Sus scrofa: one gene and its partner. The protein of the gene in region 2 interacts with the protein of the main gene of each other region in a pairwise test. Links are inferred from orthologs where the notes say so. Each region holds a gene or a part of one and is shown on either strand. Other genes may lie near its edges.

Region 1 (3,516 bases), on a different chromosome or scaffold from region 2:
AAAGAAACAACAAGTGATAGAGCTAGAAGTTGACTTCAAGTCAAGCATGGTGGAGTTAAAGAAGAACTAGTTGACTGTGGACGGCTGACCGTGCTGCTGTCCCAGGGACTCCCGATGGGCAGCCAGAGGACCTTAGGAAGGCAGGCTTTACTGACATGAATGAAGGAAGAGATCTAAGGAAAAGAATGATGATATCCCAGATGCCAGCAACACGCTTCACATTAAAAGAACTCTGAGATAGTTCACTGTCATTAAAAGAACGCAAGGATGTATTTCACAACGTTGAAAGCAAAAATTTTTAAATGTTGGAAGTTGATCCAAACTTAGAAAGGAACATGACAATTTGCTAAGGCATAGAAAGAACGTTCGCTCTGTGTCATAAGCTACATGACAACAAGAAGGCAGGCACTACTCTGACGACTCTTTTCACAAAGAAATACAACACTGTGAATTCCCAGGGTTTCCAACTGTTTTAAATTGTAGTATACTAAATAGAAATCAATTTCACTAGTTTTTATTTCCCTACACTTTTATAACCATCAGAGTTTTCCATGGCTTGACCAAAGTTTTAACAGCTACAGAATAATAGTGAAGTTTCCCATTGGTACCAAGATTGCCTGCATGGCCACATTTATAGTTCTGCATCACCACGCAAAGGAGGTGGCCTTTGCATCTCTTTGGATGGATTCTAGGACACCACACCCACGTGGCTCTCTTCCTACCTCACTGGTTGTCCTGCCCAGTCTCTTTCCCAGCTCTTATGGTTGGAGGATCCCAGAGAGCAATTCTTGGCACTGTTCCCTCTTCTGTCTACAATGACTACTTTAGAGACTTCACCCAGTCTCCTGGCTTAAAATATCATCCATATGCCCCAACTCCCACATTTGTACTTCCAGCCCAGACCCCTCACCTGACTCCAGATTTACAACTACAACAGCCTGTTTGACATCTCTACTTGGACACCTAACAGGTATCAACCTACTATATCTAAACTGAAATCCCCCCACCAAAAACTCTCCTCCACCCACAAGGTACATCTCCCCATCTCAGTTCATGGCCATCCCCTTCTTCCCAGCTGCTCAGGACAAAAAACCTTAGTCATCCTTTATCATTCTCTCTCTTATTTTCCCTATACCATACTGCTGAAGCTTTATTAGCTCTATCTTAAGAGAGATCCAAAATCAGACCACTTGTCCCCATCTTCACTGGTGCTTCCCGGGTCCACACACCACCATCCTGTGCCTAGATTACAGCCATATTCTCCAAACTAATTTCCCTCCAAATCTGTCCTTAAAACAACAGCCATGGAGTTCCCATCGTGGCGCAGTAGTTAACAAATCCGACTAGGAACCATGAGGTTGCGGGTTTGATCCCTGGCCTTGCTCAGTGGGTTAAGGATCCAGTGTTGCCATAAGCTGTGGTGTAGGTTGCAGACTCGGCTCAGATCCTGCGTTGCTGTGGCTCTGGCGTAGGCCAGTGGCTATGGCTCTGATTCGACCCCTAGCCTGGGAACCTCCATATGCCGCAGGAGTGGCCCAAGAAATGGCAAAAAGACAAAAAAACAAAAAACAAAAAAACGGCCAGTTATTTTCAAATGATGTCAAATCTTGCCCCTCACTGTTCTCAGGAGCACACGATGGTTGTCCCTTTCACTCAGAGAAAAGCCAACTTATTCCCAAAGACCTGGCAGGTCGTACACCCTCTGGCCCCTGGCTAATGCTGTAACTCCAGCTCTGGCTCCTTCTCCTCTCACCCAATCCATGGCAGCCACGATCACAGCCTACCTCTTACCAGGGTTACTTGAGTTCTCCGGGCAGGCTAATACTTAGGGTCTAAAGGCTCACCAATCCCTCTTCCTCCAGACAGCCACACAGGGAACTCCTTCACCTTCAAGTGTTTGCTCCGGGTCACCTGTGGAAGGTGTGACCACCTTCCCCAATCAATTGTAACCCATCCCTCCCTTGTTTTGCTGCACTTTCCGATGGCACTCATCACCTAACACACCGTGTAACTGCCTCATTGTGCTGCTTATTAGCGATACTCGCTGCTTAGAAGGTCAGCTCCATGAGGGCAACAACTTCTTTGTTTACTAATAAAAGCCCAGGGGCCTCATGATAGTGTCTGACACATACTAGGCATCTGATAAGTATTTGCTGAATAACTGAAGTTGAAAAGGTCCTAAGTTACTAGTTATCACACTGGACCCAGGTAACCTGTGTATGTCTAGGGACTCCCATTTGGAGAAGGAAATCTGAGAATCTAGAATGTGATGACCCAGACGTCTATTCCCTGAGTATGTCACTGTACCACAGCCAAAGCAGACCTCAGATGGTCAAACATACCTGTCCAGTTCCAGTGCAGGAGTGTCTCGCCTTCGAATGTGGTTCTGAATTGACAGGAGAGCTTCTGGGGAAAACTGGGCAGGGTTGCTCTCCATGTATTTCAAAACATAGTCATCGGAATCGAGGATGACAAACCGGTGGCCAAACACTGGGGAGAGGAGAAAAACGCTTCACTTGGTTATGTTTTTTTGTTTGTTTTTATGTTTTTTTAGGGCCACACCCACAGCACATGGAGGTCCCCAGGCCAAGGGTCCAATCGGAGCTGTAGCCGCCAGCCTGCGCCACAGCCACAGCAACAAGGGATCCGAGCCAAGTCTTCGACCTACACCACAGCTCACCGCAACGCCGGATCCTCAACCCATTGAGCGAGGCCAGGGATGGAACCTGCAACCTCATGGGTCCTAGTCGGATTCGTTTTCTGCTGTGCCACGGGAACTCCCAGACTGGTGAACTTTCAATAGCTCTCTAAGCTAATACACAGTAGTTTGCTCAGTGTTTAGGAAGCTCACTTACAGCCAACAGAAGACCCCCACTTACAGTTTAACTGATGAAGGAGGAGATTAAGACACTGTGCCACATGTACGAGAATATTAGCTTTATCTCAACTAGACTGCAGACTAACTACCTCCTACAAGGGTTAACTGAGTTAAATCCCAAATAAGAACCCATTCATTTGGCTTAAAGCTTAAACTGTGCTGAGACCTACCTTCAATCACGGCACCAATGAAGAAGTCACTGGGGCCATAGTAGATGGGGTTTTCCATGGAGGAGTCGGGCTTGACAACTTTAGTTCTGCCGAGGTACTTGCCCCCAATGATCCCCGAATTTCGAACAGGAGGCTCAAAGATACTGATCATGTCAGTGGCTAGAAAATAAGATAAGACAAACCGGCGGCCCTTGTCTTCCGGGATGGGGGATTCCTGGGAAGGTGAAGAAAGGAGGACGTGATGAAGGTCCATGATCTATCCAGATGCCCCAGACTGAATACTTACAGTGACCAGGGGACAGTATAAACCTGACATGGGAAGTATAATATCGATGAACAGTACAGGGGGGTGGGGGGTCAGGAAAGAACACCTCATCTAAGGGAGGCTGCCCCAACTCTCCTCCAGCTGACTGTTGCCTTGTGGGAATGGAGCCACAATGTTGCTAGACCTTCTTATTTTTCATGAGA
Region 2 (4,000 bases):
AGAGCCGCACCTGCAGCATATGGAAGTCCCAGGGCTAGGGGTTGAACGGGAGCTACAGCTGTCGGCCCCTTCGCCGCAGCCACACCAGATCCGAGCAGCACCTGTGACCTACCCCACAGCTCGTGGCAACGCCGGATCCTTAACCCACAGATCGAGGCCAGGGACAGAACCCGCGTCCTCATGGATCCTAGTCGGAGTCTTAACCCACCGAGCCACAAGAGGAACTCCAGAAAACCTCTGAGGTTTAAAACAAAACCAAACAACCCCCAGCTATGCTTCATGTGGACTGGGCCTGCTACTGCTCAGCTCCACCTGGGGCAACGTTCAATGTCTCCTTGCCAAAAGTTACGTCCAGTTAGCAAAAAAAAAAAGGTCAAAAAGCAGAAGGACTGTGACATGTGGGACAAGGGCCACCACCAGACACTCAGGACACACGTGCCTGGCTCCCCCCAGCTCTGCAAGGATTTCTAACCCAACAGACCACGTGGCTTGCAGAGCTCGTCCAGTTCCTCTTAAACGGAGCTGACCCTCTGCTCCAGCAGGAGGAAGGCTTCACTCCGCCCACACACCGCTTGGTCCCCAGTGGGTCCGGTTACAGGCTTTTCTGCTCTTTTTCTAAATCAACAGGTGGAAACAACAAGGCAAGGCCTGGTTTGGATGCACCACAAACACGTTTTTGAGACGGGCCTTCTGGGGAATGGGGTGTGGCAAGCTCCAATTCCACCCTCCACTTGCCAGGTCCCTGAGCAGGTGAAGAGCCTGCCCCGAAGGGGCGCGAGGCACGCAGGGGGAGCAAAGCTGCACAGCCAGCCGCCTACCTTGTCCCGTGGGGCGGGGGGGTGCCACCCTTTGGGTCAATGGGGGCCACTTGGGACAGCTTTCCAACGTTGTTTACTATTTACAGGCCAGGCCTGATTTAAAAGGTGTCCTCTGCCTGTACCCCCCATCCCCCCGCCCCCGCCCCAAACCCCAGGTACTGGCTGGCTCCTTACTCTCAATTCAAGTGTGTTTTTCTTTTTACTACTGCACCGGCAGCCTATGGACATTCCCAGGCTATGGCTCGGATCCGAGCTGCAGCTGCAGCTCAGGGCCACGTCGGATCCTTAACCCACTGAGCTGTGCCAGAGATGGAACCCGATTCTCACAGAAATATCTGAAACCTCCAGCAATGAACCTGCTAAGCCAGAACAGGAACTCCAAAATAAATACCTTTTTCTTTTTTTTGGCCACCCGGCAGCATATGGAGGCCGGGGATCCGATCTCGGGGACCACGGCCAAAGCTGCAGCAGCGCCAGACCCCTTAACCCACTGTGCCAGGCTGGGGATCGAACCTGCCTCCCCGTGAGACGCCACAATCCCGATGCGCCACAGCGGGGACTCGCTCTATTCCATTCTAATCGCTCTCAAAGCGTTTAAAAAAAAAGAAAGAAAGAATGAGAAATCAGGTTGACAGTAAAACGAAACGCTTCTGTCACATGCACACCTGGAAGAGTTCCCTAAGTCTCCACCCCACGGGGAGGGTGGGGCGCCAAAAAAAATTATCTGTGGGGCGCAGAGCTGCAGGTTTGCAAAGTGGGGCCGCAGGCACCCCCATGCGTGGGGCGGTGGAGGGATTTAAAGTATTTTTCACAGCCACAGTCAGATGCACTTGGCCTGTTTGCACCCCAGTCTCTCAGGGGTGCCCAGGGGTGTGTGCCAGAGACAGGCGGCGGGCGGTGCCAACCGCGTGGAAACAGAAGCGGACCTCCGAGGATTTCTCACCTTAGGCCACACGCCAAAGGCGGCCACAAAGTAACACAGCACCGCACTCCCCACCGACCCCTCTGTTTGGGAAGGAGTTACTGTTCATCTAAAAATAAAAAGCCACGTATGCTCGCAGAGCCTGGCGTTATCCTGCTTCCTTTGCAAATCAGGGCAGACAGGAACGCTCCGGGTCTGCGGCTGAAGTCCCAGGCGCGCCAACGGGAGCCGACGCGGCCCCGGCCACACAGCGCCTCGCGGGCCCCCCAGCAGCGCTCGGAGCGCGAACCGGTCCCGACACCGGAAAGTTCGGGGTCGCAGACGCCGCGGGCGCAGGTCGCTAAGGCCGCAGAAGCAAGGTGCCCCTGAAGCGAAGGGCCCTGCCCCCGAGGCCCCCCCGGGCCCCGCACGCCCCCCGGAGCCCGTCCTACCTGACCCTGCGCGGAGGCCGGGCTCTCGGCGCGCCCTCCTCCCTCCGGGCGGGGAGCTGCGGGGCAGGCGCGCGGGACCCTGGGGACCCCGAGGACCCTGGCCCGGCCCGGCTGGGTGGGTCGGGGCGCGCGACACCGCAGGGAGACCCCGGCCTCGGGCGCGCGGGGAGGAGCGGCGGGCGGGGCGACCCGCCCTCCACCCCCGCGGCCGCCCGGCCCTGCTTCCGGGAGCGCCCGGCGCCGCGCACGGGCCCAGGCCGCGGTCAAGGGCACGCGGGGCCCGGGCGCGCCCCTCCCCCGCTCTGCCCCCGCCTCGGGGGCTGCGCCCCGCGGGGGACGCACCGCCCGGGCCCGGAGCCGCCGCCGCCATCGCCGCCGCCGCCGCCGCCGCGAGCCACCCGCCGGCCCCGCGCCCCGACCCCGCCCGCCCGCCCCCGGCCGCTGACCTGGCTCCGCGAAGCCCCCGCGGCAGCGGCGCAGCAGCTGCGCCAGGATCACCGCCGCGCCCGCCGCGTAGACCCGCAGGGCCGCCCGCGCCGCAGACAAAGGCGACATGGCTGCCCGGCCGCCGCTTCCGCGCCGCCCGCGGGACTCGGCGCTCGCCCGGCCGGACGGCGGAAACGCGCCCGCAGCGGCCCGCCCCCCGCGCCCGCGCGCCCGCCCGCCAGCCCGCCGGCCCCGCGCCGACCCCCGCCCCCGCCTGACCCGCGACCCCGGCCCCCCACCCAAACTGCAGACCCCAAGGACGCCCGCTCTGACCCCTGACCCCGCCTGACCCGGGACCCCCAGACTCCCTCCAGGATCATGGACCCCAGGGACCCCCCCCAGACCCCAGACCCCCACCCAAACCGAGGACCCCAGGAGCCCCCGCTCGGACCCCGTAGCTTCCCTGACCGGGACCCCAGACCCCCACCAGGACCACAGACCCCTGGGACCCCAGCCTCCCGACCCCCACCCAAACTGCGGACCCCAGGGACGCCCGCTCTGACCCCTGACCCCGCCTGACCCGGGACCCCCAGACTCCCTCCAGGATCATGGACCCCAGGGACCCCCCCCAGACCCCCGACCCCCACCCAAACTGAGGACCACAGGAGCCCCCGCTCAGACCCTGGAGCCCGGCTGACCAGGACCCCAGACCCCAGAGACCCCCCCCAGAGCCCCCTCCAGGACCACGGACCCCAGGGATCCCCCACCTCCACTCCCGACCCCGGAACCCCATCCAAACTGCGGACCCCAGGGGGTCCTGCTCTGAACCTGAACCCTGGCTGACCCGGGACCCCAGACCCCCACTAGGACCACAGACCCCCAGGGATCCCCCCAGACCCTCACCCAAACTGTGGATGCCAGGGAACCCCCCTCCAACTCTGCCTGACCCGGGACCCCAGACCCCCTCCAGGACCATGGACCCCAGAGACCCCCTTCCCAGACCCCCACCTAAACTGCAGACCCCAGGGACCCCTGCTTGTCTGTCAGTGCCCCACCAGACCCAAGGACCCAGCCCGGACCATGACTCCTGCCTGGATCCTGGGATCCCACCTGACCCCAGACCCCAGGGTTCCCCCTCCTGGACCCCAGGACACAGAACTATGGACCCCCCCCACCCAGATCATGTGCCCCTGTGCTGACAGGAGACCCAGGGAAGCCCCGCCCTCACCTTGAGCCCCCGCACAGACCCCAGGACCATCACTCAGATCCACCCTGGGACTACAGACCCCTGGTCCAGGGACCCCACCGGGACTGCAGGCCACCCCTGCGCCAGAGACCCTACCCTGACATCAACCCAACCCAGCCCCCTAACTCCTGCCTTGGGCCCACCCCACCCTCGTGAC

The links.
Region 1: the proteins of ZBED1 (region 2) and EFHC1 interact in binary tests that used the Homo sapiens proteins (3 or more experiments, as listed by UniProt). The two-hybrid records come from large-scale screens. The link is inferred for Sus scrofa from reciprocal best matches to the Homo sapiens genes ZBED1 and EFHC1.

The regions. Positions count from the first base shown.
Region 1 is NC_010449.5:46,300,404-46,303,919, reverse strand, and holds part of EFHC1 (EF-hand domain-containing protein 1), read right to left. Parts: intron 3,263-3,516; coding exon 3,049-3,262; intron 2,491-3,048; coding exon 2,343-2,490; intron 1-2,342. UniProt on the Homo sapiens protein: Microtubule inner protein (MIP) part of the dynein-decorated doublet microtubules (DMTs) in cilia axoneme, which is required for motile cilia beating.
Region 2 is NW_018085344.1:633,006-637,005, forward strand, and holds the start of ZBED1 (zinc finger BED domain-containing protein 1), read right to left. Parts: upstream 2,801-4,000; 5' UTR 2,727-2,800; coding exon of another isoform or gene 2,618-2,726; intron 2,390-2,617; exon of another isoform or gene 2,172-2,389; intron 1-2,171. Other genes in the region: dehydrogenase/reductase SDR family member on chromosome X, read right to left, coding at 2,618-2,726.